Struthio camelus: one gene and its partner. The protein of the gene in region 1 interacts with the protein of each later gene in a pairwise test. Links are inferred from orthologs where the notes say so. Each region holds a gene or a part of one and is shown in the gene's direction. Other genes may lie near its edges. The genes, in order: PLIN1 and ABHD5.

Region 1 (15,108 bases):
AGGCTGGCCTCATTGAACGTAGTGCCAGCACACAAAGCATGGAGCCCTGCAATTGGAATGCAAGCCTAACCCTCAAGATATAGGGCAGCTCTCCTCCCTGATTCCCTGTTTCCCTGAACCACTGACAATTACTGGCCTCTGAATATCCCCCCAGGGAGCCCTGCTAGGGAAAGTAAGATTCCTCCTACACTGTTAAACTTGTGGCCAACCCCTTCCAGCCTCCGCTATATCTACTTAAGGTGATAGCCCACTCTAGTCTGGGCCTGGTTCCCCTCCCTCCCACAAGGTTGCCTGCACTGCGTTGCAGTGAATGAATCTAAAAGCTAAGAGAAATTCCCAAAAGCTTGCTGGGGAAAAAGGAGGATTCCCCCCCCATACACACAGCTGGGAAAAGGGCAGATTAACAATGGTAGGTGCTGCAGTGTGAGACCTTTGTGAGCAGCTGGGAATTTCCCTGCCACACTGGCTAATATGGAAGCCTCTGGTCACAGGTTTCCAAATAAGCAGTTTGTTTCCTTTTGCTTACCCACTTTCTCCTTGAGTGGACGGTTAAGCGAATACAAGCAGAGATTGTGACTTCCATCCCAGTGCACACTGATGCCAGCTGGAACAGCTGGAAATGGGGAGGGCATAACAAAAAAAAAAAAAAAAAAAGAGATCAAGGGACACGGACAGCAATCCAGCAACTCCAAAACACCATTAGGAAATACTGGGAGGAGATCTCACATACAGGAGCTCTCAAGGTTTCCCTGGCAGGACTTATCTGAACTCTACTCATACAGAACCTAAAATACAAACAACTTCCCCTTTGCTTGTGACTTTTTCATTGCCTATGTGCCCCCTCCTCTTTTTACTATGGAGCTAAGTTTGTTTGACTGCACACTGGTGACTGACTTACGTATGAGGGCTGGCATTCTTATCCAGGCTTACGTCCTTGAAGATGGAGTTTATATAGTCAAACCAAGCCAAGCCATTGAGCTCTAACTGAAGCTCAATGTCATGCAGTAATGAGTTCCACAGGTTAACACCTTCTTCTAACACCATTTGGATTACCTGGCTGTAGTTTTACTTCAGGTCCCACCTGTAGGATCCGGCTAGGCAGGAGAAAATGAAAGGTAGCATGTCTGAAAAGGGAAAAAAGAAACATGCAAAAGAAAGGCCTTGGTAGCTCAACAGCACTGCAGTAGGACCTGGAGTGGCTCTGGCCCTGCCCTGAAGCCTTGGGATGAAGGAGGGAGATCTGAGTCAGAGGACACTTGGGAAACACCCTATGTTGAAATTTCATGGACTAAAATGCTGGTTAGGGCTCCTACTCACCTGGGGATCTCATCCTTGCTCTCAGTCTCGGCCTCCAGATACTCCTGATAAGTGCTGTGGAAGATTGCCTCCTGCTGCTCCCACTGGGAATCCTTGATCAGGTGATTGTACCCCAAGCCAAATATGCTGCCATCATCCACTTTCATCAAGGCATCCAAAGGGCTTTTAAAAATACTTCCTGGATTGAGAACACAAATGAAAGAGCCACAGCGTGGGGAGAAGCAGACACTACGAAGACATGGGAGAGCTCAGAGGCACTTCTACTATCCCAACTTCAGGGTGGCATTGTCTTCAAGAGGGCCACGTTTCATCTTACTGGCAGAAATGTTTCAACATTAACAACGTTCTGTGGAACCTTCTGTATCACTAGTCCATTTTCCAGTTATTTGAAGGCAGGGATCAGGGCAAATCACTTGAGGATCCAGCTCATTGCCTTTCTGTGGCATTCTCCCTGACAGCATCCCCAGAACAAGGTCTGCTCCCTCCCTAACCTCCTCCCTAAAGCTTCAGCATGTTCCTTTGAATTTAGGAGTCAGAGAGAAGAACTGGGATGGCTGTCAGACTGCTAGGATCTAGGAAACAAATAGTCTGCTCCCTGTCTGGTGGCAATGAAGCTGAGGCTGTATGAAATCCGCTGCCAGGCACACTGAAGTATTTTGTGCTAACAGTGGTGGCACATCATGCAGTGGTTGGGCAACAAGCAATTCCCGCTACAGGACTGTAGGCAACTACAGAGACAGGGCAAGAAGGAGCCAGGAAGCACATTACTAAAACTTGCTGAAATATTCTGTTCTGTAGACATAAGGGCCATGATTTCTTTGCCACCTGAAGGAGGCGGAGGGGTTAGTATGCAGAAACAGTCCATGACCTGTAATAGGTTTCGGTGGCTTGACTTTCAGCAGCAACACTGGGAGAGCCAGCTTTGCATCAGCTTTGTTTGCAGACACAGACTCCTGCAAGAGAGAAAGAGTCAGCTTGAGAACTGGCTTTCCCGTAGCTGTGTTGTGTCCTATGCTGAAAGTTTTCACCTGTCAGAAGTTCCTGAGAATCAAACGTTTCCTGAAGTAGGATGTTCCCATCTCCTCAGATGGGGCAGTACTGCTGGGAAAGGAACTGGCAGTTTCAGGGAGGGGCAGCAGAAATGCTAGCCTTGGGACCGAAGGAATCTCCTTGGAAAGCCTATCCATTGGCAATGTGTCCCAAAAATATGGGACGACGTAAAGCTTGGCTTACACTGCCTAGGAGATACTGGTTTTAGCCTCATTCTTCAGGCCAAAATACAGAAGCTTGAAGGAGGTCACTACTTCCCCAACAAAACTACAGAGGATCTCCTCCTCAGACACTTTGCGCTCTACATGCACTCCACTTCAGATCACGCTGAATGCCTCTTGTTGTAGCACAGGCCTGGGTGGGGCACAGGAAGGCTTTAGACCTCAAGGGAAAAAAAAAAAAGACTAAAGGTTGCAGAGTGCTGTGGAAGAAATGAACCAGATTTGGCTTCAAAGGGTCCAGCACTCTAGGAGATCACTTGTATGTCTGGTTGGGAGTGGAGAGTCCTACCAGAGGAAGTACACTTGTGTACCCTCCCCACACCCACACAATGACACCAGGGACTTGGCTAAACAGGAAAGGTCAGGCGAAGCAGCGCATGTCTGAGAAGGAAGAGGCAGGAACTTGGGTACCTTATACGAGCACAGGGGATCAGCAAAGAGGGAAGGCCTCAGTGTTTGTTTACTTTCGGCTTGGCCAATTTAAGGGGGATGTGATTGTCACGAAGACAAGGCTGAGTAGCAAGTCCCTCTTAAATTCCCAGAAAGTCTCTGCTGAAGGAAGGACAAACTGTGAGGCAGGTGTTACAGAGCATGAACTGGAGGTGCAAGACAGACAGTGCCTGAGTGTCGAGAGGTGATCTGGCAGGGTGAAAGTGATGTGGGAGAGGGTTAAGCACTGACTCAGTATTTAAGATTCCCCATAGCAGCTCAGGACATTCACTGAGGTCAGTTACCATCTCTGCAGAACGCTCTCCATACAGCTCCAGACTTTTCTGCCAAAGAACCAGAAGAGGGCGGTGGTTACTTCAAACAGGCTGACAGAGGGTGGGCAGAGACCCTACCCTGCTCAAGTGGATTCAGCTACAACCCCAAGAGGCTCCTCTTGGGGATCTAAAACATGAACCCATGTCAGAGGCACTGCCAGGACCAGACTCCCAGGTGGAGATATAACGCCTGATTCTCAGCTCTGCTCTTTCACCCTCCCCTAGTAACACAAGAAGGAAGGCAGACGTCCTGTGGGAATACCCCCAGAGAGGGCCTCCTCAGATGGGGCAAGTGCTAGGAAAGGAGCCGGCAGTTTCAGGGAGGGGCAGCAAAAAATGCTAGCCCTGGAACCAAAGGAACTTCCTTGGAAAGCCTGTCTTGGGAGAGTTAACATGTCCCAATAACATGACACTCTTGTGAAACGTGGGATGGGCGGCTGTAGAAGCTGCAGAAACAAATACGCTGTCCCCCTGGGCTGACAAACTTGTTCAGCCGGAATCTTGCTGTCACTGTCTGCAGGAGCAAGCGTTAAAGACAGACCTGTAAGCAAAAGGGTACAAGAGAAAATAGTACAGAGGGAAACAGAACTATTTTTTACCATAGATGTCTGACTTGACTTCCTCTCCCTGAAAGCCAACTCTGCTGCAGCTCCTGGGCTATTTTCTCTCTCCTTCAGCCAGGAATCCTTAGGCAACTGGTAGATCTCCAGCCAAGCTTCTGTGCTGCCTGCATTGGGAAACTGTATTGAGCAACTGAAAATAAGGAGGAAAGGTCTTTCAGGCAAGCAGCTCTTACATCCTCAAGAAAAGATCTGGATCCTTTTTGAAATCTAAAATCCCTTTGCTCTCCATGCAGCCCACCTCTCCTCCCACTTAAGGATTCACATGCTAGACTCCAAGACAGACATCACAGCCTCCAGCTCAACCCCTTGACGCCCACCAAACAAATTCCATCGAGTGCCTTTGTCAAAGAACTTGACCTGCAGCCACTGATGGAAGGTAGAAAGTGGTCTCACACTGACTCTCAGTGGATGTTATATATCTCAGTCTCATCATATGACCAGGCAGGTTCCACCAGACGTGGGGTCTAGAAAATCTACTAGCAACAAATGGGCTGACAAAGGCAGCTGCCCTGAAACAGAAGAGTGCTATAGCAAGGCGAGTTTGTTGCTATGTTTTTAGAGGCTGCTCCTATGCTCTCTGGCTTATGTCTGCAGAGAAAGTTCTTCAGGTCTATATATTTCCAGTGTAAAAGTGAGTCCTTGTAAACCAGATGAAGAACTGAGGCAGGTACTTCTACAAAGAGGGAAACCTGCTTTCACTGAGCCTTCTGGGAGCCTTGAGAATTGCGCTGCCTAGTTCCATTCAACTGACTTGGGATCAGTGCTGATCTATAAGAGGCCTTTTGGAGAGGACAGGGAGTGGCAGCAGCAGCTCTCTAAGCTGGAGAAAAGGACTGGGTAGTTTAGGAAGAGGATCCCTGGGAACCCAGAAGACAGAACATTTTAAAAGCATCTGCCGCTGCCCCCTCTTTTAGAATGCAACAGTCGTCGTCCAATGCACCATGCTCCTGCACTTGCCTTGCAGCAGAACTCCTGCGTAATCACCTCCCTGGGAAAGCACCACCTCCACACAAGTACTTCGCTTGCTGATGTCCTCCTGCCAAAGGAAAGATGGCTGGCATCAGAGCAGGGTTACCGATGTAGAGCGCTCGATGACTTTAAACAGTTCTCTGATGGGTGAAGGCAAGACAGACTAGCGGGAGACCCGGACTAACTACCACATGTGCAGTGCACAGGCGTGAGACTAGGGAGATAAGGAAAGTGCCCTGTGCCTAGGGTTTTGTTTTTTAAGTTTGCCCTGGGTTGGCAGGAAAGTCTAGTGGCCAACAGTGCTACTCATGTGCCCTGTGCAAGTGCCTCAGAGGTGCTTAGTTCCAGTCTTGCCTCGGGCTGTCCTTCAAAGGTGCATGGAAGCTTGAGCAGATGCAGAAGAGCATAATGGAGAAAGATGAGGGGGAAGTACTTAGTGCTCTGGCTTGATCCCACAAAAGGGCAAAGAAAAAGCAGACATCAGAAGAATTTAACACCAGACAAGGCCTTGGAGACTGGGAAAGGGATTTACACTTTGTGATTTACACGTACTTTACACTTTTTGATTTACAGTTTGCATTCTTAGCGGAGAGCCATCAGCTCTGGAAATCACTTCCCCAAGTAAAGGAAGACTCATTCCACTGGGTCATAAACAATGGCACTCAGGAACCTCCAGGAGGTGCTTTTGCACAACCCTATACCTATCCTATACCTCTAGGATATCTGCATTCAGAGAGGACTTTGGCAATAACATGGGCTGTATGTCACATAGGCACACTGCCTATGCTCTCCTGGCTCAGTGAATGGCTCTCTGGTCTTGGAGTGCTGCTGCTGCCCATACCAGAGTATTTTTGGAGGGCAATTAGTACTCATCCTGATTGATCACTTAGCAGCTTTTGCCCAGGGTTTATGAAATTAACTCACTACTTACCATTTCATTTAAGTTTTTAATGAATAAGAAGCTGTCCTTGTGAAAGCAGAAGAGCCAGACAAGCCCTAGAAGCGAAACACAGAGATAAGTCGCAGTCCAGTGAATACATGGTAGCCAAGCTCTTGGGAGATGGCTGTGACAACACATGCGGGAGAGTGAACAGGATTACATATTTTCCTGGGCTCAAGGAGAAATGACCCCTTGCTTCCAGCACTAAACTGCCACTGCCTTCCTTATGTCAGCATTTGCAAACAGTTGGCCATACACAGACAGGGCTCAGCCAGCTTGAAAAATATTTCCACCAAAAAATGATAGCTTTCGGATGAATCAACAAACTAAGCTGATTTATCATAGGGCTGTGCAATTACAGATGCTGAAACAAAGAATGGGCAGCAACCCACGGCTAACAATACTTTCTGTCTGGTCTAAGGTATTGCTAAAATTTACTGCACCTCAGCCTGAGCTCTGCACTCACCCCTGCTGCTCCAGAGAGAAGGACACCAAGCCCACACCCTTCACTAATCCCACGGCCTTAGGCCTGTCTGTTACCCTACAACTTACTATCTAACACCCTTCTTCATAGACCTTTATAAGAAACCTGTCAGTAATACTTATACTCCTGCTAATTTAGTACTTTTCTGTAAAGTAGCTGCCAACTCTTCAGTCCCAAAGTGCAGCCATCCCCGAGGTAGCTCAAAGAAATCCAAATCACACTAACCCATTTCATCCACAGCAAGCAGGGCATGGTGCTCATTCCCTAAGTCCGAGGCATGGATGGCACAAACCTCTGTCTTGGCTGCATCCCAAGCACAGGCTTGTTTACAGTCAGACACCTTGAAGACAGCCAGACCCACAGACAGCCCAACAAAGAGGTATTTTCCAGAGACTGCAAGGCAGTTGGCTCTTCCTGTCACCTACCAAGAAAAGGAAAATGTGAATATGCCCAGCCGCTTCCCAGTGGGCGACAGGTCAGTCACGGTCAGCCATACTAGCAATATACTCCTAACTTTTCACTGACAGTAAACACTGATGTACTCTACGAGGGAAAAAATTTTGCATGAGCTTTCATCAGAAGAATGGCAGAGGTAGAGGAGAGGGTGAAGGTGTCTCAACTCCCATCAGAGATGGCTCTGTGTCAGGAATGAGAAAGTTGGCTCCTACCCTTCCCCTTCAGATAAACAGAAGGGGCCTTAAGGGCCAACAACTTGGCAGCACTCAGCCCTCCCTCTGCCAAAGCAGAGCTGTGATGTGATGCTGAGCCCCTCTATTCTAGGTAGTTGCAGACATGCCTCCTGGGTACCTGCCCTCCAGATCCCTCTGCAGATAGATGGAGAAGGCAGTGCAGCCCTTCTGCACAGAAGGCTCCTACAAGCCCCAAGAGCAGCCCCTTTCTGCTGCCAGCTATCATCATAAACAAAGCTGAACTTGTCCATTTACATGCTAGTGACTAACCACCTTCTCCTCAGCAAACAAGGGTGGGGCCAGCCTGAGAAGCAAAAGGTGAATTTAGTACTGTTTAATATCTGCTTCTCTCTTTTCAGAGAGGTGTGATAGATGGGTGGGAAGCAGACCTGTCAAACAAGATTGAAAGCTGCAGCCTTTTGAAACGAATAGGGTGAGATGGCAGTGGATTCTGAGGAAGGTGATGAAGGGAAGGATGTAAAAATCAACTGAATGGACATTATCAAGAAAAACTTCTAAGGTAATTAACGCTCTCTCTGCTGCGAGGGGCTCTTTACCTGGAATTCAGCTGTGGGAAAGCATTTTGTGGCCTGGATCCTCACTTTTTGTGCTTCTTGGAGTGTCTCTCTTCTTTCAATGATTTCCATAGCATTCTCAAAAACGAGCATCACCAGTTTGTTGATCATCCGGAAGGGCTGAGGCAACACATCAAGCATTTGATCGGGATCCTGCAGGAAGAAATTTTCCTCGTCGTCCTTTAACCAGTCCTTTTCAGATGGTGGAGGAATCTCCAGGGGATGCTTCCGGATATACACTGGCATCTTTCTGCCTTTCCAGATGCAAAACGCTCCACAGGTGCAGTAACCACAGTAGACGCAGAAGACCAAGGAATTGTGTCATATCTACATTCATGAGGTAATGGAAAAAAAGATGGTTAATGATTTCTAACAGGGAAGCAGGGTTCCTATCCGTAAACACAGTCAGAGCAAACTTGTTTTACATAGCTCATTTCTACTGGCTCCATCACTTCTACTGCTCGTGTTTTTGCCCTGCTCTGGGAATACTGCTACTGAGATGCCTGCAGGCTAAACACTGAGGTGAAAAGGTAAGTGTAAAAGTTTAGGGGTGCGTTTGTATACAACATTTGTAAGTATGGGCTTGTTCTTCGTTAAAAGGCTTATTCAGCCCGGACTGAAAAACCGGACAAATTAATTTTGAAAACTGGCAATTTCACCATAAGTTTGACTGAACTTTAAAGCCATTGGGCACAGCATTTACTTCCAGATGTCAACGTTCACAGCGTGCCCGTGACCAGGGTCACCACGAGTTAGACGCTCACCCGCCACTGGGAGCCCTGGGGCCCGGGCAGAGGGGCCGGCGGCCGGCGGGGGCCCCGGGCCAGGCTGGCAGCCGGGAGACAAAACCCCTCCGCCTCTAACGCGGAAAGGGAGAAACAAAACCGCGGACCTCTCGAGCTGAGAGCTACAGAGCTGCAAATTAACCACGCGAATCCCGCCCACAACACCTCACCGGGCTCAAAACGCCGCTTCCCAGCACGGCTCCAACGCCCAGGCCGCCCACCGGGCAGCGGCCCGCGCCGGCGGCAGCCTCGGAAGGGGACAGCGCGGCGCCGCCGCCGCCGCCCCTCACCTGCCCGCCAATGTTGTCGGTCGCCGTGGCAACGGCGGGGCGGAGCGCCGCGCCGCGCCGCCCGGCCGGAAACGATCGCCCCGGCGGAGGGTTCCCCCCGCTCCCGGTGCCGCGGCTCGCCGCGCCCGGCCGGGCGGGAGGGGAGGGGAGGGGAGGCGGGTCCCGGCCCCCGCGGCGGGGCGGAGCGGAGCCGCTGCCAAACTCCTCCCGGGGCTGCCCCTCCGCTGGCGCGGCCATGGAGGGCTTCGTGGACTTCACCAACCGCAGCCAGGGCCGGGACCTGCTCTTCCGGTGAGTGCGGGGCCGGGCCGGGGCCCTGCCCGCCCTCCCTGGCGGTGCCGGTGCTCCGCGGGGGGCAGCCCGGCGGCGCCGGCCTCTTCGGGGCCCTGTGTCTGTCCCTAGCCGTGCCGCCGGCCTCCCTGCTGGAGCTGCCCGAAACGTGCCCCCGTGGGACGGAGCTCCCCCGCCTGCCAAACTGCCCGGCCCTGGTGGCGGGGCGCTCGGCAGGCCCCTTGCGCTGCCGGCTGCTGCCTTGGGGCCCCCCTCTGCCGGGCAGGTGTCACCCCGGAGGGCTGCTCCCAGCCCTGCCCGCTCCAGGCCTCCAGCAGGGCCCCTCTCTGGCAGTATTTCGTCTTGCCCTTTCGGGCAGCGTTTCGCATCCAGGCCCCCAAGCTGCTCCTCTCTGGCACAGCTCTGCTGCGTTTTTGGTTTTTGCTTGCTGCTTTACCTGTCTCCAGCTGCTGCACCTGCACGTGTGCCCTTTACGCTAGATCTAACTAATCCTGGCACTGCTGCATGCGTAAGGTGCCAAGAAAGATGAGACGGGTGACCTTAGGCCTGGAAAGAAGTTTTGGCCCACTTCTGCTGTTCCTATGAATTGTCTGTGTTTCACCTGTGAACCGTTTTCCTCGTTTTTTCCATTCCAGAGCTACTCAATACACATGCATGTTGCTTAGCTATTTGTTAGAGCATAAGGCTGATAAAGAGAAGCTGGTAATGAAACTCAAGCAGTTGGAATCTAGCATGAGCTCTGGCCGTAAAAGTAAGTACCTGGTGTCTAGAGGGATAGTTCCTCTTCACTTGTTCCTTCCATCAAAGTAACTATTGAGCCAGTGTTTTGGATATTTAACCTACCTTAAGCTGCATAACCTCTTTTTAGTATACTCACAAAATTGTCAGTAGACCTTATTTTGTGCTGGCTTGCCAGAATAGGTACAGCCATTTAGACATTTATGACTTTGTTAGCCTCTTCTCTGATTAGGCAAGCTGAAAGTATTGGTGAAGGAACTAGAGAAGTGAGTTAACAGTCAGCTGTTGCTGCAGAAATCAAAGTTGTCATCTCTGATAAAGGACAGAACACAAGAGTTAATGATACAAGGCTAGCTTACTGCGTGCTTAGGAGTCCTTTCAGCTAACGTGATGAGACAGACATGTTAAGGATAATCATCCCAAGAAAATCTCCTCTGAGGGACCATCCTTTGATGTGGATTTTCATATCCTACTTCACATATTAATTTTCTTTGGCACTTATACTCTACCAAATTATATACTCTCCTGTACTTTTCTTATGATCTAACCATATGCATCATTCCACTCTGTGTCACAATTGCATCAATTATGGTTATGCTGTTGCTGTTGTTATACTGCTTGCTCTCAGGTTATTCTTATACCTGCCTTTTGATTAACCAATTCTAAAACAATTTTAGTATATAAGGCATATATTCTAATTTAAAATGTTACCATATATTTGTTTTATTATTCCAATTAGCTCTGGAGTACGAGAGGCCAGCTGGTTTATCAGCATACCTATAATTCTCTTGCTTATGCTAAACAAATCTCTAACAGAATTCAGGCCTAAATTCAGGCCATTTGCAGTTCCACAGAACTTGGACACTGCCACATCTGTCATTGTTACAGAGCAGCAGCTTATGAAACATGTTCTGTGTGACATTGTATTAACAATCATGGGTAGTGTAGAGGATGAAATTAGGCTTGTTGTGTAGTATACAACATATATGGAATATACTGTTCTTGTTTGCAGAGAACTACGTGTGCTTCTGAAAAATCCAAGGCTGAGGAAAGACTTGGGTCTCAGTTTGACCTACCTGTGAATCACCAGCCTGCAGAGAAGCTTAGAAATGACATAGCTCATGGCTGTAATGGGATTAGTGCAGTAGCGTCTCCTGTCCACAGAGTTAGGAGAAGTCTGGTCCAGTCTAGAGCTGAAACCGGAGGCTCTGTTTGTGTCACTTTTTTGCTGACACTGCCTTGTTCAGGGCAGTTGGTCATGTTGGTCCAGAGAGCACGTAGGCCCTGGGAATGGAGTGGCAGAAGGTTGCAAGTCCTGGCTATTGAGAGAGTTATATGTAGGTCCTGGGCTGCTGCAGAACAGTACTGAGGTATTTACATCCCTTTCCTTGCAAATACTAGCTTCTTACTTTGTGAACTCAAAATTTGCCCTAAGAGAAGACACTTAAATATACAAATGCCCAAAGACTACCAAGTTTTTGAAAAGTATATGTGGACAGTGACATGCAGAGTTGTCCTACATAGGTCTGTGTCTATTTGTGGTAAAGGGCAGGTCATGCTAACGCTTACGGGCTTTCTTGCAGTGTTCAGACTGGGCAACACGGTACACGCCTTGGTAGCAGCCAAGAGAACTACACAGTTGCCAGATGTGGTTCCTCGCTTCTGCCTTACTACTTCCAACCTGACCCGTGCACTGTACTTCGTCTGCGACACAGTCTTGTGGTTGAGGAGTGTTGGTCTCCAACCTGACATCGATAATCAGAAGTGGCGGAACTGGGCTACCAAGTGTTACTACTTTTCACTGCTGATGAATATAGCCAGAGATTGGTATGAGATCTCCTGGAGGTTGGAGCAAGCTATACAGAAAGGAAAGACAAAAGAAAATGCTTCCTGGGACAAAGAAGATCACAAGCTAAACTGCTTGAAATGTGATAGCTTGCCATCTTTTCTACTCCTGCTGTTTCAGATATTGAAAAGACATCCTCCTTTGCTGCTAGACCTGGTGAAGAATCTGTGTGATCTCTCTAGTCCTTTGGATGCATTAGGAATCTACAAGACCAATCCAGGAGTCCTGGGTTTCTGTGGCCTCATCTCCTCTCTGGTGGGGATCCTTACGTTAGCAAGCCCACATCTGAAACTGAAGCAGTGATGCAAAAGGAGCTGCGTAGTGTGCAATGAACCAACAGTTTTGATTCTCTGTCAGGTTTTCTTTCCGTATGGCACTTTAAAAATGAAGATGTCTCACACTAACCTCAAGATGAGGTTTGCCCTTTGAATAAGTGAATTCTACCCCTTTTCCTTCCCTGTATCTTTGCAGATGAGTTGGGTGCTATGACACACTCCCTGATGGGGTAGAAATGGGAGAAGACAGAATAGTATTTCAGAAACAGGCTTTGGAACGTGGCTGCTAGAGGAACGTGGCTGCTAGATAAGGAAATATTGATGTTCCTATACTTTAATCTAGGGTTGTGAAATAGCAGCATAGACAACTGTAATAGATATATGACTCATAACTAATCATGTTTACACTGGAAAGGTAGAATTCACCAATCAAAGGTTCCTACAGTCAAATTTTTTAGTTTATTCAGGCAAGTTAGGAACTGTGATTAAAATGGCCTGAAGTAAAGTGTGAGCCCTCTGATTGGTTTGAATTGATGGATCCTGTCATCCGTAGGCAGTGGTTTGAATCCAGTGTGATAGTAACTGAAAAGTGATATTAACTAACTGACCTTTCAGTGCTCTTTGTGTAACATGCGTGGGTGCTACTGGATCCATAGTCTAGTGAGTGCCAGTTCATGCCCCAGGAAACCAGCACCTTCTTCTTTTTCCTTTGGCAATGTGAGCCAAGGATTGTTTGCTGCAGACTCTGAATTCTCCAGCGGGCCATTGGTGAGGGTTTTGGTGAAGGACAGCATGTGGGAGAAGCTTATCTCAGTGCTGATAATCCTGTGATTTGTAGGGAACTGGGTTTCCAAAGCTGTGAATCTGGAACCACTGGCTAGCCCTGAATTTCCCCTTATGCACACATCTTAGTTCCCTAGCCCCTGTGATTCCAAGTGCAACTACTTTCCATTAATCCCTGTGTGCTAGGTAGCCTGATTTGTTGTTTTCATTTTCCTTGAAAAATTCCAGCATAATAAGGAGCTTTGGAACCTGCAGTTAAGGAGAAAAGCCTGTCTTGGCGCTTGTGAGTTGGAAGGACTGCAAGGGTGTGTTTCTGGTTGTGTAAGCTCCCGAAGGGAAGGGAGCAGAGCTGGACTTGATAACATCAGAATCTCCTGTGAGAAGAGAAGCTTATTATCTGGATTTGGGCATTCAAGTTTCAAATATTCCTACCTGATCTTCTCTATCCTTCCCTGTCATGGCCACGAGATTTCTTGTGTGTTTGCTCACTGTTTGAATGGGCTCTACCATTTGAAGAGGTCTTACCTTTTCCCTGCAGCTGCATCGTTACTCATCACTTACCTAGCTGGGAATGATTGCCTGGCAGTGTGGTCTAGGTTAAAGGAGAAATGCTGTGTACAGTTGTCTTAACAGTTGCATGACATGTGCAGTCCTTGTTTTCCTGACTTTGCAGCGTACCAGGTCCAACACCATCTGAGAAATATTTGCTCAGCCTATAGGAGACAAAATTATCACATTTCTTCATCAGAGCTAGGCCTGTGTGTTCTGCTGCTTTCTGATGCAAGGACTCCTTGTTTATCTGTCAGGAGATATGAACAGAGATTATTCTAACCAGAACCAAGGTAGTCTCTTACTATTTCTGACTCTGGCCTCCTTTAATTTCTGTTTACAGACAGTCTCCTTTATTAAAAGGAGAAGGCTGTAGAATTTAGTAAACATGGTAATACATGCGTGCTCCAATTTACCTTAAATCATTTTGCTCGTGCTTGGAATTGCTTCCACTTTGAATGTGAAGTGTTAGCCAGCCAATAAAGTGTTTGAAAAAAGAGCTTGCTGGGCAGGATAATTAAGTGTGCTTGAAGACCAAATGTGGCCTGCAGCAGCTCTTCTTTTTAATATGGAAATGAATACCATTAAAAGTAGAGTGTGCTGTCTGTTCAGACCGTGGTGGAGCGTTATGTGATGGGCTGTGTTGTCTTCAAGGGCTTCCTCTCCTTTTTAACAACAGAATTTTTTTTCTTTACTCCATTTGCCTTTGAGCTCCTGACGATGTGTGGACCATCCCTCCCTCGGTCAGAGTTTGACCATTATCCCAGTGTGCAGTAACTGCTGCGAAGGGAGTAAGAGGAGTCTTGATGATCTAGCAAGGGAGGTTTGGCCACCCTCTGCCTACAGAGTTTTATCTTCTTGCAAGAAGCTGTGCTATGAATTTTCTACAGGGGAGCTCTCGCATACAAAATGTATCTTTCATTGATTTGCCAACTGATTTTTCTTTTTCCCTTGTAGATAAAGGGAAATGGATTAAAATATTAATGTGGCCCCTAGCTAGATACTCCTTCTTGTGCCCCATGGAGGGAAACTGTGCTTTGTTTCCTTTGGGTTGGACAAACACTGTGCAAAGCCACGAGCCGACCTTTGATGTTTCTCTTGTAGAGACTGGGGTTAGCAATTACGGACTTAATTTTGGAGATGGGGCAGTGAATTTTCAGCCTCTCTCAGCCTGACTGAATCATTCTACATTACACATGTCGGAACATACAAAAGTAGCTCTTTTTGCTGGGTGTTAAGCACTAATACTTGTCTTTCTGCTCCCCAGCTGGAGGCTAGAAATGTAATGTACCTTAATGTAATGTGACTGAAGCCATAGGATCACAATCAAATGGAGAGAATCCTTTTAGTGCCTTTTCTTTGTATCTCCTTCTAATACAACAGTTGGAATAACGATGGCTGTTTGAGTACAGGCAATAAAGTTAGATGGGTATGGCACTGTGTCTGCGTGTTACTTAGAGGGTGTGGAGAAGAGGTAATGAAGGTGCAATCTTTCCTCACGTTTCTGAATATGAAGGATCATATTGCTAAAGAGATGTTGCCTGTATTTGCACCTGGGTTACAGAGCTTTCCTTTCACAGTAGCAAGGTCTCAGTCAGATTTGTCATACTCGTTTATAATCGTAATTTGAGTTACAAAAAACATTGAGAAGGGAATATGTGAGTACTTGGTATCACTGCATATGAAACGCACTGAAGGAAAATGGCATTTTGGGCATCGGCGTGAGCTGCCCTTGAGTGCAAGTAAGGAGAGCTGGCACCATCTGCCCGATGTAGGCACAGCTACTGTGAAATGAACTGGTGCACCTGCATTTTGTTATCTTATAAACAGCCTTTTGTTTGGATGGGTCTCACTGCTGAAGGGTGAATCGCTGCATCTGTTTAACAATGAATGTCTGTTTAGGGCAGAGAATGAAGGAT
Region 2 (16,060 bases), on another chromosome or scaffold:
CTAACACTGATGGTCTCAAAGTTACTGTTTGAAATCCAGAGTAAGCAAGATGGTTCTGACAGTGAAAATTCTGTAATGTCATCTGGAGCCTTTCTAGCACAAAAATTGACTCTTTATCTCAATCTAGAACAAGGGGGATATGTGAGGCCACCTGGATCATTCTTCTTCTCCCAGCCAAAGGAACTTGTTTTTTCTTCTGATGCTATCAGGAAAAAATGTTTGTCTTGGAAAAATGTAACAAAGGATAACAACAGTGAGCAGGCATCTCTTCTTATTTTGTCACTGTGAGACAGAAAAGTCTTTCTTTTTTAAACTTATCCATGCTTGACGATGGGATCTGGAAATAAAATTCAGGCTCATATAGCAACATTGGGTAACATACTTCTTATTAAAGAGAATGATATTAAGCTAACCCAATAAAGTCCCACTAAAAATCAATATAGAGTCTTATTACTGAAGTGGGAGACTAAACAGTGGTAGGGATCCTTTCCCTACAGTCAAAGAGATAATATTTGCAGTGTCTAGAAATTTCTCTAAAATATCAAAATGAGAAAATTCATCTGAAGTACTTGCTTCTCATTATGATATAGCTGTCTTTCTTTTACACTGCAGCATCAGCCAACTGACATTCCTCTTTCTTCTATCAGCATTATCTCAAGAGATTTTTTCATGCACAGAAGTATAACTAATTTAACCATGTAATCAAATCAAGTATAGAAAAACTGAGCTATTTCTATCAAAGGCTAAGAAAGTAATAGAGAAAGAGGAACTCTTAAAAGAGAAAAGTTACTCGTACACTTACACTCTTAAACACATGTAACCAATTAGTGCTTTTGGGAGTGCTGCTGCAATGAAATCACAGAGAAAACTGTATCTAAACATTTGTGTGCTCCAGGAGTAGGGCCTAAATACTGATTATGAAGTTTTCAATATTAATTTCAATGGAATAATAAGTAGAAAGAATCACAGCATTCAAAGCTATTGTTTCAGGCTGTTAGCAAATTCCAGAGAGTATCACTGCAAATGTTTGCCTGTGATCATATACTTCTACATTCCTAGATATTCATATTTTCTGTAAATAAAATATTTCAGGCAAATAAAAAATAAACTATCCCGAGAAACGTTAGATTACTGAAGCATTGTGACACAGCCAAACAAACTTTAGCTGAAGCTGTGTAATCTGAACAATCGCTGTTGTTATAGAATAATTTTAGCTGTGAAGAATCTGCTATTACCAAATTAATATTATGCATTTTATCAAAGGATTTCAGAAAGCTAAATAAAAATCTTCCATCAGATAGCATCTGTTCTTCTAAAGTGCTTCAGCTCAGTGGTAAACTTCAGAAGAAATGCAAGACTTAAAAACTTACCACTGTTTACACTCAGTGCATCTTACTGCCTTACTTGAGGATTAGTTATTGTTCACTATGGATGCAGTTCTTACATAACTGAATAGTAATACGACCTGTGACACTGAACACTGCCTAGATCAAGTATATCCCTTTCCCTCAGCATTCTCCTCTCCATAGGTATGGGCAAACTTTCGTTCAAAGTACGTACAAGTCTTTCAAAATACTTGAAAATGTGAACACACAATAGGCGTTCTACATGTTTATTTCATAATTGTCTTGAGGACTGATACTATTTAAGCTACATTCAGAAATAATCCTATGTTTCTTACATAGAAAATCAAACACAGAACTAGCAACCTGAAAATCCAGTGCTGTTGTTGCTAAACAAGCTGGTGAACGAGCTCAGTTTGTGGAGGGAAAGGAGACGTTGGTTTGGGTATTGCCACCTCTCTTGCATTACTTGTCAACTTTCAAAAGGAGCTTTCAGTATCTAATGTCATTTTCCAAAGTTCAGGCTCTTGCCTACTATACAGTTATTAACTAGCGAGGTAGCAATGGGAAATATAATCACTCAGTAGCTATGTACCCATATTTCTCTTGGAGGCTTAACATTCACAGTTCAGAAACGCTTCTACGGATGATGTGGCTGACCCGCCGCGACAGAGCATTAACCCAGGCAAGATTTCACCCTCTGTCTAGCCTTTCTTCACAAGAGGTAGACGTCTTCGTTAGTAACCTAGGCTTTTATCTCAGGATCAGGCTAGGTCGTGCAGGCACCGTGGGCCCAGAAGCCCAGCTTGAAACGCCAGCAAAACCGCTTTCGCATGGCAAGAGCCCGTGCCCTCCCCTCTGGGCGGCGTGTGCTGTCCACCCTTCACCCGGGGTCCCCCGCAAGCGCGCACACACATAAACACACACACGGCGCTGCGGCAGGCAGCCGGCGCCATGTCCCTGCCCCCTCACCACACCCCTACCCGCCCCAGCTTGCGCGCGCCAACGGCCGCCCCAACGGCCACGCCACGCCGCGGCGCGCGGGCACCCTGCCCCCCGCCCGCGGGCGAAGGGCGACGGTTGGCAGGGCAGGACGCGCGGCGCGGCGCGGCGCGGCGCGACTCTGCCCTGCCCCCCCCCGACCGGCGCCGGGGCGCTCTAGCCGCTGGCAGCCTCCCCGCTCTATGGTGTGGGCGGCCGCTGCGGGGATGACGCAGGCGACCGGCGGGCGGGCGGGCCCCGTGATGGCCGGTGCCGCCGCGGTCGCGCTGTCCCTCGCTGCGCTGCCGGCCGCCGCCGCCGCCGCCTCGCCGCCCGCTCTCGCTCGCCGCCCCGCCGCCATGGCCGAGGAGGAGGCCCCCAGCGAAGGGTGAGTGAAGGGCGCTGCCCTGAGGGTGACCCTCGTCCTCCCTATATAGGCGCCCTGGGCGGGAGGGGGCACGCGGCGCCTATAGGCGCCCACCCGGCCCTGCCTGTGGCTGTAGGTTTCTCCCAGGTGCGTGTTTATACACGGGTTTACGTCTGCACACAGCTGCGTATCTGTATGCGCCGTGCCCCGGTTCCCGGGGCGCCGCGGGAGGCTGCGGCCTGCCGCCCCGCGGTGCCGGTGCCGGTTACCGGCCGCCGCTGCCGCCCCGGCGCTGGCGGCGGCGGCTGTGGCGCGCGGGGCCCCCCGCAGCCTCGGCCAGGGCCTCCCGCCCCGCTGCCTCGCCGGCTGCTCCTGCCCGGTCCCTCGCGTCCTCCCCGCGCCTGCCGAGCACCCCTCGTGCACATACGCACCCGTGCCGTCCTCTCTCTTGCGAAGCCCTGCCGTGTCTTCCCCTTTCACGGGCAGACACGTCCTTTCGCAGGCCGTCGCCAGTGTGATTTCGCCGCTGGGCACACGCAAGCCTTATGTGACTGCTGCTTCAACATCTGTGCGTAAACTTCACCGTTCCTGGCCTGGCTTCTGTAACCGCGCTCCCGCCTGCATAGATGCATGCGCGTTTCATGAACTGCCTTGCCTCAGTGTATATGCACATTAATTTTATCCCCCCTTTCTTTGCACCCCAGTCTCCTCTGTGCGCACATCTGTATATACAGATGCCCTATGCTTTTGTGTGTGTTTGCAACTTTACCTGTACGTGCAAATATCCTACCTTCTCATTCTCTACGTTCAGTATGTTCACTTAGATGCAGAGCAGGCAGTAAAGTTTTTCAGTCTCTCTGCCACTCTACTATTATTCTTTCACTTAGATGCAGAGCAGGCAGTAAAGTTTTTCAGTCTCTCTGCTGCTCTACTATTATTCTTCTCTGTAATCCTCGATACAAGGTGGGGATGAAAGCACATCTTTACAATGTGCATTAACCTATTTACTCTTGCTCTGACTTTCCCCCTTTTTAATACTGTATACCTACCTCGTCTTCAGCTGCCTTCACTAAACTTTTCGTTCTTTTCAGTGTCCCAAGACAATCTCATCGACCAAACTAACTCCCCTGCTATACATTGCCCTGCCCTGTTCTTAATGTACATTTGATATCCCTAATATTTGTTTGTAACTACTGACTCACACGCTCAATATGTGTCTTCATTATAGCTATTAATCACTCTTCTCCTGATGCTACGTAGTCCTGCACTGCGTCTTCAGACTATGTACATGCAAATGGTTCCATAAGTTATTAAATAGTGCTCCGCTCTTCTTCTGTCCCCCTATTATTTATTGGTGTATATCGTCTCATGCCTTGTCCTTCAGTGTATGTTTTACTTCTCATTGTACACTTCAGCTGCCAGGACAGACATGATATCTTTCTATTGCTCCAAAATGTATTTTCTGCCTTCCCTTATTGCACTATGGAATATACAATCATCCTGTCTTTGAGTCTTTTTTATTCATAAAACATACTTCTTAATCTTATCACTTATCTCCTAGTTTTCCATCATTATATGTGCTTTTAGTCTAAACAATATTCCATCAGAGTGTATCTAATTGTGTTGTAGTCATACATATGCTGTATTCCCTCAGTCAGATAAGCATATGTACTTTGTATGTGCTATATACAAACATTTTTCCCTTTATTCCTTTATCTCCATCGTTCATGTAAGGTATCACATGACTGATTCCTGGCCCCCAGAAACCCACTCTTGCTCTTTCCTTTTTTCTTTCTTTCCTTTCATAATTAAATTTTACCTTTTTTGAGGAAATCCACCTAAAATCCTTTAACCGCTAGCATGAAAGTCATGCTGTGTATTCATGACTTCATATGCAGGATAATATTTGTTGCGTGTGGTCATGTTGTATGTCTGTTCTGTTATCAGTCTTGTTCTCTATTTAGCCCGTTTTACGACTTCTGGCTTTGATACTTCGTCTTGAATGTTGTCTGCTGCCAGCTCAATTTAACCAAACCTGGACTATTCATCTTTTCATGTCTTCAGCTCGCTGTCGTGCCTTTATACCCATATACACACAGTAGTCTGTTTTTTAGGATAAGCTTGAAAGACTTCACCTGCAAAGCCCTGTGCAGTTTGGTCTGGTCTGTTTCTCTGTTTGGTCCTCCTTTCCTCAAACTTAAAATAGCTTTTTTTATATCTTTTCTTTCTTTATACCTTCTGCAGCGTTACTACTTGCATTTTAAACTACGTTTCCCTTCTTGGTTCTGCGTTCAGATGACTTTCTTATCTATTCACATTCATAAAATGCACGTCATTTGTAAAGCCTCTTGTTGATGATTTACGAGTTTTCTAAATCAGAGCCTTAAAATAGCTCTGCCTCAACCTGTTTTGTTTATATGTTCATTCAGCGCATTAGCCTGAACTGTATTAGCTGCCTTATTTGATCACATGGAGTGCTGAGTGCTGCTTAAATAGTGCCAAGTGCCCTCAACTTCTGTAACCTATCAGAATTGCAGGATTATAATGTTAGACTGTCTGGGCATAGCGTTAGGAATCATAGACTAAGTTTTCAAAACGGACTATGACAGTCTCATCATGGTTTGCTCAACTGGATAGCTTTTAAAGGGACTTAATTTTGAAGATGATGTCGGTGCCCCTCTTCTGAGCAGTCAGTACGTTTAATGTGAAATCTTTCAGAGTAAGCTCCCCGGTTCACTAAAGACTTCTAAGAATAAGAATAAAATCTCGTGCTTCTTCTCTGTGGTTTCAAAAACAACATTAGCTATGATGAAATGTTAATGCTCCAGGTTATTAGCACTATTGTTCTGTTTCTAATATTAGTCAAAATTAGCATTTCTTCATCCTTTCAAGCTGAGCAAAGCTCAGTACCCACAGAAGACTTATAAATGAGTGAAATATGTTAAATACTTTTGGTTTTAAAACTCTGTGACAATGAGAGGAAGAATTATTAGATACCATTAAAGCCCTAGATTAAATTGTTAGTGACAAGTATATCTGAAAAATAAATATGACGTTTACTTTATTTGCCTGAAAAGTTAGTGTTACTTATCTTGTTTTGCAACATGCCCAATTTGTTGAAATCTGGTAACTGTACAAGTATGGTGAAAATGGAGCAACAGTATCTCAGTAACTTCCTAGATGGTCTTAATTGAAAGATATTCATGACATTTTCTCATTCCAGGTCAGGACAATTAACTAAACAGATGTTTTGGGTCTTCATCGTGGGAGCATTTGCTTGGTTAACATGTCACTTACTAACAACTCCAAACCTCTTCGCGGCCTTGAACCTTCTCTGTATAAGTTGCAGAAGTAGACTTCTGCCTGTGAGGCAATCAGCCTAGCATAATCCTTTTGCCAATATTGAATTCACTTATGTTCATTCTGGATTCAGCAGGACTATTTATGGCTTACAAAATAACTAGTAATAGCAGCTACTAAGTATATGCACATATCTGGGAAAAATCCCAAAGACAGAGCACTGTTTTCTTTCCCTCCAAGATAAGTGGATTAACTTTCTCTAAAGAAAAAAATGTAGAGGGGTCTGCACTTAAAAGCCTACATCAAATTGTTTGCATGTGGCCTGTAGTCTCACAAAATAGTGGCTTAGAATAATATTTAAAAACATATACTGTAAATGTCACTGCAACACCAATAATCACAATTATTTTTCCGTTATCCTTCAGGCTTGTTTGTGTTTGATTCTTTGGGTATGCGGTTTGAAATGTTACAGTATTCTTTTTACAAATTATAGAAGCAAGTTATTGAATTAAAGCAGAAGAGGAATATTGTATCAGACCTTATACAGCCTATGTCTATCTTTTAGTAAGATAGTGATATTAAAGCGTACTTTTAAGGGGCAGTCTGAATTCAGATTTTTGCTTGCTTTCTTGCTGGTTTCAACATCTAGATTTTAAAGCAAACCTTAAGCAGATGGGCTGCTGAAAGCACAATCCTTTCTCTTTTCCTTTGTGAAAGGAGCCTTTTCCAAAGGCCTGTCGTATAGCACAGAGAACTAGCAGCAAGTCTGGGACTTGCAGCTTCCATTTTTTAAAGTTAGTGAAACATAAGAAGTTCATTGTGATAGCGCGTGTAAAGAAGGAAAAAAGGATGTTTCCTTCCTCTTTTTTGATTTTGTCTTTTTCACTGGTAGGGTTGTGTAAGTTGTAACTTCAGTGCTCAATGCCTTTTGCATTCCGGTTGTGTAGTCATCTGAAAGTATACATATGAGCAGGTTTTCAAGCGTTTATAAGCTTGTCTCAAACAGTTTTCCTATCCTTGTGTGATTTTGGGAGAGGAAAGTCTGTGGTCATCAGAAAGATAGCTCTTCTCCCCCCACCCAAACTCAAGGGAGAGAAGGAAAGAGATGGTAAAAAGATAGGAGCTATCTTCTCATTCCAGTGACAGAAGAAAGATGATTGTGATAGTGTGTTCCCTATCCCTGACAAGGAAGAATTTCATGTAAATGCTCCCTTGAGAGGCTTAAATAAGCACATTAGGGAATTAGAATAGTAGTATTCAGGCTTCTGGGCAAACATTACTGAACAAGGAGGGGAAAAACTACAGTGAATATATAGGAGTAGATGGTCTGCTCTTTACTTGGTTTTGACTGCTCTTTGGATTCTCTTGTTTATTGGATATTCCTTGAATCAAGTTTAGGACAGAGGTTTAGAGGACAGTTTCTTACTTTTTGATTTCTTCATTCTCTTTCTCCTTTCCGGAGTGGTCCTCCATTGTTACACGTGATGTACTAACGTTTGTGAAATGGATTTTTAGATTCAGATAGACCCATTTATATATTTGCCTACCGTCTTTCATGCTCTTTCAGCGTAGCAGGGAATGATATGATAGAGCTGCTGGCAAGGACTTGCCAAAGAACCCAGCAGGGAAGAAATAGCAGTTGGTCAAGATGCGTTCATAAGACCTCAGGGAGGCCCCTGAACTTCCTTTCACAGTTTATTAAAAAATAAAAATAAATGTGGGCATGACACACTTTCAGTTTATAGCTCAGCAAACACACTTTTATGATTTTTCAGGGAGTTTAGTTCTTCATAGTTCTTTATGATTCTTAAGGGAGACTACCTCAGGAATCATAATCTAGAGGTTTGAACACCACAAGTTAGTTTCTCCTCTACTCTTTCTGAAACCTGTTCTTATGTTAGACAACATGAGAAGAAGCATCACCAACATACTCCAGGGAGCTGCAGAAGGTCTTTTCCCCTCAATAGTTCTTTTCGAGCCACGGCGAATCTTTTCAGTTGTTCTTTTCCAGTTGCATATGATGAAAACACTGGTTCCCATCCTAGGCGAAGCAGTATTCAAGTGCATGATTTTCACTGTCACTACCAGGCCTGAAAGTAAACCCAGGTAATCTTCAGTTGTGTTGCATGTGGTTCACGCTTCAAATATCTAGTAAACGGACACAGAATTCTTACAGATACCATTACAGAGAACGTACTTTTAGTATCTTGCCTGAAGTTACCTGTTCCCGCTCTCCTTCAGTGATTATCTGGCCAAGTCATCTGTTACAGCAGAAATCCCCTGTTAAAAATCCTACTAGATTTATCAGTCATCTGGCTCAAGTCCTTACATTTCAGAAAGACAACGAGGAGTGGAGGGGGGAGGATAGCAGTTATAGAGTAGCTTTTCAATTACGTTTAAGATGTTACTAATTGGGGGTAATGCAGGATTAATAAGCCAACATTAGGAAGTCTGCTGCTGGCACTGTGGATAAAGTGGAAACTTTATGTTTACCAAGCAAACAGTTTAGTATGGAAGTTACCAGATTAGGATTCCAGTACCTGTTGAGTAACTGAAGTCATAAGCCCAATGGAAATTTAAAGGGACTCTCAAACTGAGAAGGTAAACTAGCTTTGGAGTTACTATTGGAAAGGTTTGGGGATCGTAGCGTAACACAAACTTTTGCCAGTATTGCATACCTTTGGATAAATTCTAAGTTTTCTGGAGCCTGTTTGAAGATCGGTGCTGTTCCAGAGTTCTGTTGTTTTGTTGACATTATACTAAGCCTTGCCTTATAGGCCCGGTTAGAGACCTAGCCCTCCAAAAAGGACAGGGTCCATGCCAGGAGGATCTCCACCAGCTACAGGTTTTCTAAACGTTACTGAGAAAATCTGAAGAACTTTCCTGGTTGATGAGGAGGGAGGAAAAAAGCAGGTCTAATAGTTTTTCTGGTGGCTTACTAAGATTACTTGATGAGGAAATTTTGATTTTCAAATTTCATAACTTTTGAGTGTTTACTTGCAATTCTGACATTCTTTCAGGATAGTTTTTTGTCCATAATTTGTATTGACAGCAAGAGGGAAGAGGGCATGGGAGGAAAGGTGAGTGGCTCAGTTTACATTGGCACCAATGGATCCAGATTAGAGGCTGAACTGCAGGAGAGAGGTCAGTGGAGAAGAGAGATATTTGTGTCAGTGAAGCTATGTAATGGGATGAAGTCACTCTGGAATAAGGTTAAGAGGGTAAAAGAGGAGGAATTTAAGGGTAAATCCTTGAGTGACAAGAAGAAAACATGGAGATGAAGGGTGAAGGAGGAAGATTTTCTGAATGAGTTGTAACAGAAAACAGAGGATCATGTGAGGTTACAGAAATGAGGGGGAGAGATATCCCAGAAATGCTTTCTCTAATAGAAAGTTGCAAGAGCACCTCTTGCCAATGAGAAAGTCCACTAATACATTGCAGTGAGGAAGAGAAAGGGATTACAATGCAAAAAAAGGAGATGGGGTGGGCTAGTACTAACAGACTATTGTTGAACTTTTTTCTTGATGACATTTAGTAAGTATTATACATGAGTCTAAAGGCTTATTAATTGTGTGTGTGTGTGTGCGTGCGTGTGTGTGTGTGTATATATATAAAAAATAAAAATACCTTTCCCTAGCAGAACATTTGATGCAATGGCTTTTTAGACCTGTTAGATCTTCTTACCTGTTTTTAAGGTTATTTGCACTTCCCTTGACCTCTAAAAATTTTGCAATCTAGGCATGTAAACAAAACTATCTTTGAGTTTCTGGGAGAATGGGAGGGACTGGGTACTTCCTAGACAGTATTCATGAGGGTTTTCTAAGAAGTGGAGGCTAGGCTCAGTAGGTCAAAACATTGAGTACTGCAATTTGACATAGGAAGAAGTAGCACTGTGGTAAAAAGACACAATGTAGATGCTATTCCAAAGGTATGCAGTGAAAGGGTGTGGTATAAATGGGGTTTGGTGTATAGCATGTTTGGAGCTAGGTGAAATAATTGCATTCTTTACATAGTCTTTTATCTGTGTTCTTATGCAGTTCTTTATGGGAAAATAAAAATGTGTATCCATCTCCTATTTAAGTTGTGATCCAAATTGTGTGTAATGCACTAAGGAATATAAACAAAAGATAAATGGCGTAGTGGACAATTATGTAGATTTACAAAAGATGCTTGTTACGTATGTATTTTATTTTTGTTCAATTTGAAGCAACTCAAGGATAGTCTGAAATGTGGGCCTCTGGCAAGGTAGATATTAGAAGGCTGATAAATGAGGTTGAAACAGTATTTACTTATTAATATATTATTTTATTTAAGGTTATGCAATATCTGAAGGGCACCAAGAACATATCAGTAGGTGAATAAAATGAGAGTAGTAGGAAATTATGTAATACCTGAAAATGATCGTTTTATTTATTTTAATAATACACTTCAGAAGTTCTTAATGTGATGTACAATGTGATGTTTGTAACAACACTTGATTACTGTGGCAATGCCAAGTTTTATCAGATGTGAATTTACTGTGGTGGAGTTGAAGGGGTGTAGATCCTCACTAGTACCAAAGCTGTGTGTTCCACGCACAATCTCTGTCACGAGGTTGAACAGTTGTTGTGTGACTGGCAGCTCCCCCTTCTCTCTGCGCTGTACCTGCATCTTTATCTCTGTGTACTGTATTCTTTCTTACGTGGTCTGTAGTCGCTAATATGATTTTTCCCTAGATCGTCTTTGATTTTAGCTTTTAAATTGAGATATAATGTGAGTCATTAGAAAAGATGGAAGGAAATAATTGAGGGCTTGATTACCCTCTTACTGTTAGCAGTTGGAGTACTGTAAAGTTTTTAAGGGGAAATGCTTATATGTTAGGGAGTATGTTGTAAGTTAGGGAGGGGAACAGTGTTATTGAAAACCTGTTAGAATTAATTAGTTCTCTGCTCTGTAGTATATTTGTGACCTGGCTTTAACCAGACTGTGGAGTTAGGAGAGGAGTATATCTGATGTTTTGAAAGGAGATAGAACACTGCAATTTTCGAGAGATTTAGAGCCTATTTAGCAGTTGGCAGTGATAAGAATAAGGAATAGCTGCCTGACCAAAAGCATGTGCATGTTTTCCTCATTACTGCAAACATTCTTAATGGTTCCTTGCACTAGACACTAACACAGTTTATTTTGTAAGCAGTATGAGAGTTACAGGGTGCAGGCACAGGCAGCAGTCCACTGATAAGCTTTATTCGTGTGGCGTTCACTGAAAGAACACATGCTGCTTAAATCTGTGCCCTGGAATGGACACCTTTGCATATACCTAGAAATGGGGCGGAAGAAATGACAAAAAGGTATAGAAAGGAATTACATATGGATAAAAAGTGAAAGGCAATACTGGGAGACAGAGAATAAAATGTATTTTGGGGGAGGAAACAATGATGTAAGCTATATAGCCATGCTCACCTACAGCTGAGGTTCAGCATGGGAGAGAGCAAAACTGTACGATAAGTCCTCTGCTGCCTGAATGCTCAGGTTGCTCAAATGAATTTTAACATCATGGGGAATTTGAATATCACTAAAATAGCCAGGTAATACTCATTGCTTATGATTTACCGCATTTACATTCTCAGGTTAATTTTGCTAAGTATGAGTCCTGTATATCACTGTTCATATAAGTAGAGAGAGTAATAAAATTTGCTTCTGCATTTTTGCATTAATGTTGATGTCGAATGTTCTGAACACAGAGTTCAAGATGCAGTAAATACATGAGGAATGCATTGTTTTTGCCTCTGACCTAATATAGCAATATTCTGCAATAACCTACTGTGGGCTTTTTGTTGAAATGGGGCTGATGTACATTACACTTCCTAGAAATATTATGCAGAGGTTTTCAAAACACTGCTTTCTATTTTAATGTTACTGAAGTAGCCAAGAGTTTCACAATGTTTGATTGCATGGAACATCTTGGCTTGAAATTGTTCTAAACAGAACTTTACAGGCAGGCTTATAATGCCATCTGGGGGAAAAAAGTGGTTTCCGTTTTAGCCATAAAACTCATTTACATCAATGTCCTATATTTTTTGTCACCTCATGAGAATGCTGAACAGACCTTTGTTAAAGGATTGGGGTTTTTTTGTGTTCCTTTCCCATACCCCTAATTCTCGCTTCTGGGTCCTGCCTTTTTAGTATGCTCCTCAAGTCTTGATGTCGCTGAGGACTGCAACGTGTTCAGTCTTTTTACGTGATAATCATGAAGTGGATCAATGGAATACATTTCTTCTCCTGCTATTTGTCTGTAATTGCCAAAACTTAGTTTTTGTCCTTGGAACATCCCATTCAAATTACTTTTGTGGTTACTACACCTGGCTTATACTTTACGTGCAAAAGCTGTGCCCCGGATATGCAGCCTTTGCAATAAGAGTCATTGTGTATTGATTATGTGTGCTGGAATGATTCTGACTGTATTCATCATTCTCAGAAACCTGAAGCACTGAAGAACATGTTGTACCTTGGGGGCACGGATGAAAGACTACAAGGAGTCCTTAAATTAGTTATGTTGTTAAAGCTTTAATGAAACCGTATCCTGAGCCTTGTCCCTGAGATGTCCCTGGCCAGTTAAATCCAAACGGTCTGACTGAGGTCATGGTTATGTATTAACTGTCTTGTCAGTGGCAGCTCTGGCTTAAAAGCTTGCCATCTTCCACCTTCCCTCACTGGTCAGGCTTTTTCCACCTTGTTAGCACATAGCTTTGCTGGTTAACTGTTTCACTTCTCTGTCAGCTGGATCTCTAGAATTATCTGGTTTAAAACATAATTTCTCTTTAGGCTGAACTAGTTCAGAAATCTCAGTTAGAGAGCAGCCACAAAAATAGTTGAACTGGCCAAATGGAGCAAGTAGTAAGCCTTTAGATCTGATCTACTGCCAGTGATGATGGCCTTAGAATCAGGTATCGCACCTCCCAGGTTACCTCATACTGATTGCGGCAGGAATGAAAATGCAGAAATAGGATGCTTCTCAGAATTGGACCAACATACAGACTTCTTTGTGTTTTATCTTCCTCATTTAAAAATAGGCTTTTCATCATTTAACAAACTAATGTTGAAGATTAACTCTAGTCAACTTAATCAGGCAAAGGTTTATGTCTAATAAATATTTCTTTGCTGCTCCTCGTCATCAGGTTCTTGTGGCTTTGGCTTTAAAAATATGTTTTCATGTTCTTTCAAATACTAGCTTGAAATAGCTTTATTGCATTTTTCTCCAAAGTATTTTTTTTTTCCAGTGCTTTGTTAAACAACCTACAATCAAGGGAAATTCTCCTGGGAGTAAGTAGAGAACACTATGGGGCTTGAGTATAGTGAATGCTGCGGAGAGAAATATTTTTTCTGTACTTCAAACAATAAAGTTTTGTAAGTAATAACAGTGTTGTTTGGAAATAATAATAAAGAAACATTTATTCTTGCCATAATCAGCCATGTAAACAATATTCAGTATTCTGGTGTTGCAAACCATTAAATTAATAAAATGGGAAAGGAAAAGTGTACAATTTAACACTAGTTTAGGCATGAATTAGCCAGATGTAAACCTACTGCCTCTCTCTGATATTTTGACGCGCACACTCTTACTTGTTTCTGCCATCCTTGACTCTTTCTTTGACTTTGTATTATTTCAGGTTATTACTGGAAAAGTAAACTTGAAATTTAGTGACCAAAAGCAGAATTTTCTCTGATAACTTGTTTATTGTTGATGATGGCAGAAACAACATCCTACTGACCTCTTAGATTTTACCTAGACTGTTACTGATGCTGAGGAAAATGCAGAAAACTTCCAGTAAACAGGCTTACTTCTGCTGTTCCTTTTAAAAAAAAAAACCATAAGAGTATCTCTTAGGTATCTCACTTAAACATCTATGCATATAAAATCCTGTGTTAACTATAGAGAGCATAATGGCAAGACAATGTTTTACTTTTAAAACTGGCACTTTGCCCTATGCTGGATATATTGAACTCTTGCCCCATTATGAACACCTGAGGCTATTCTTTTTACTCCTGCCCCTCCCTAGTATTTCTATAACAATAAATGAGTCTGGGTGAGTTGCTTTGCCCTGAAGTTTTAAATGATGTTAAAACCAGAGCAGTAGTTGTTCCATTCTTTTGATATCAATCTATTTTGAAAGTTATGTATGGAGTAACGATAATATGTAAATCTATATGGTTTGTTCTGATAAAATACTGAGCACCATATCCTCACTTCAGTGGAGCATTTAAATATATGACTAGTCTCACTGAGGTGCAGTGCTTAAGTATTTTGTGTGTGACGAGCTTACTTGAGACCTTAGAAGAGTAAGCCTTATGGTGCTTATCATATTTAGATTTCAAAACATTTGCAGTTTTGAATTGCTTTGCTAGCAAAGTACTTCAAGAATACTGTGTGCAGAAACCAGAGGAGGGAACCGGAGCTGTTCTTGAATTACCTAACTCTTGTTTTTCTGTTATATGCAAGCTTCTTTTCATTTGGGCCTAGGTCAAATCAGCTGATGTTCATAACAGCCATGCCAGCTGGATGGCCCTGAAAATCATGATGGCATTCATCTTGGTGTTAGGAAGAAACAATACAACAAATTCTCTGCATGAATATGTTTTTATTTTTTCTTTCTTTATAAATAGCTGAATTTACTTCTGGAAGTCAGGAGAGGAGAGGGTTGTTTGGGGTTTTCCAAAAATCAGCTTGATTCTAATATATTCACCAGTGAGTTTGCTCAGTGTTTCAACTTTTTAAAGTTTCTGAGCTTGTTCCATAGCTCAAATCTTGGTAGCAACATTGTCTGCAGAAGTGCAGTTAAAAATATTTATTATGTTCATTTACTGACAGCAAGATAAAAAACAGAAATACAGTTCTGTTGTTCTGCATTTAGTTGCATTCCCTTAATGCTTTGTTTATGAAAGAGTTATTGCATAATTGTTGTATATGTTAAGCCCTAATTTTCTGAGTGGTGTCATTTGTAAGTCCAGTGTTTTACAGCTGCTTTAAGTAATCTTTGTGATAGGAGATTCTGTTTTCCACACTCCTGGCACTGACAGACGTTTCAATGCCTACTTTTTGGTCTATACCGAGAGTTTTAGTTACTTTACTAATTTCAAGATACATAGTGAAAAGCAGATTTTATATTCAGCACTATAGAAAAACCTCTGCATATGTCATCTCAATAAGTGAGCAAATCATCTTCTAGCAAATGGTATTGCTCCCATTTACTCTGATTTAATGGTGTTCTGTCTTTTGGGGTTTTTTTTTTGTTGTTGTTTTATTTTTTAACACACAGGCTTTCCACAGACTAATACAGCTAGCTCTACAACAATTTTGTACATGGGAAAATGCCTTTGTTGAATGGTTTTAAGGCTAATACATCTCAAAGGCAATACATTCTTATAACCCTAATGTGAATAAGTAAATTATAAGCTTGAAAAGTAAGAGAATATATATATATATATATGTGTGTGTGTGTATTTATGCTGCATATATGTGTATTTATATCTCTTAGACAGAGTTTATTGAACATTGAAACTGTCTTTATATGGTAGTGCTTCTTTTTGGAAATCCACATTACAAGCCAGAAATCAGGTGGACAGCTCAACGGTTTGAGTGTCTACCTCAGCATAACAAGAGATATTTTCAATCATTCAGTGTTAACGCAGGCTTTCACGAGCTTTTTGTGGAATCTGTCAAATTTGTAACTTGCCATAAATCCACCAATTGTCTTGCATGTAATTGATTCTCATCCAACTAAATGGGATTAATCGAACTGACAGAATGATAGTATCTGAGTTACCTATTTGCCACATTCTTCATCTGATTTGACCTAATCAGTGGAGATGGATGGGTGGGTCAGCTTCACAGTGCCTCTGCCTTTACTTGATTCGTAGTTATTTTGAAAGTTACCCTTGGGCAATTTTAGCTGTACTACGACAGCAAGTATTTGATTCAAATTACTCTTTTCCTTAGCTGCTTTAATGTTATTAGTTGCACTTTACACAATATTCAGTTATTCTTTACTCCCTGGATTTTTGCAGGCAGTAATCATAATTTATTTTTCATACT

Evidence for each region.
Region 2: the proteins of PLIN1 (region 1) and ABHD5 interact in a protein complementation assay, tested with the Homo sapiens proteins (3 studies listed by BioGRID, with this or other methods). The link is inferred for Struthio camelus from reciprocal best matches to the Homo sapiens genes PLIN1 and ABHD5.

What each region holds. Positions count from the first base shown.
Region 1 is NC_090953.1:10,034,685-10,049,792, reverse strand, and holds the start of PLIN1 (perilipin-1), read left to right. Parts: upstream 1-8,809; 5' UTR 8,810-8,942; coding exon 8,943-8,998; intron 8,999-15,108. Other genes in the region: WDR93 (WD repeat-containing protein 93), read right to left, coding at 527-613, 1,054-1,124, 1,318-1,495, 2,186-2,270, 3,323-3,361, 3,952-4,075, 4,929-5,011, 5,876-5,940 and 2 more. UniProt on the Homo sapiens protein: Modulator of adipocyte lipid metabolism. Coats lipid storage droplets to protect them from breakdown by hormone-sensitive lipase (HSL). Its absence may result in leanness. Plays a role in unilocular lipid droplet formation by activating CIDEC.
Region 2 is NC_090943.1:48,167,889-48,183,948, reverse strand, and holds the start of ABHD5 (1-acylglycerol-3-phosphate O-acyltransferase ABHD5), read left to right. Parts: upstream 1-7,882; 5' UTR 7,883-7,885; coding exon 7,886-8,097; intron 8,098-9,890; exon of another isoform or gene 9,891-9,905; coding exon of another isoform or gene 9,906-9,919; intron 9,920-16,060. UniProt on the Homo sapiens protein: Coenzyme A-dependent lysophosphatidic acid acyltransferase that catalyzes the transfer of an acyl group on a lysophosphatidic acid.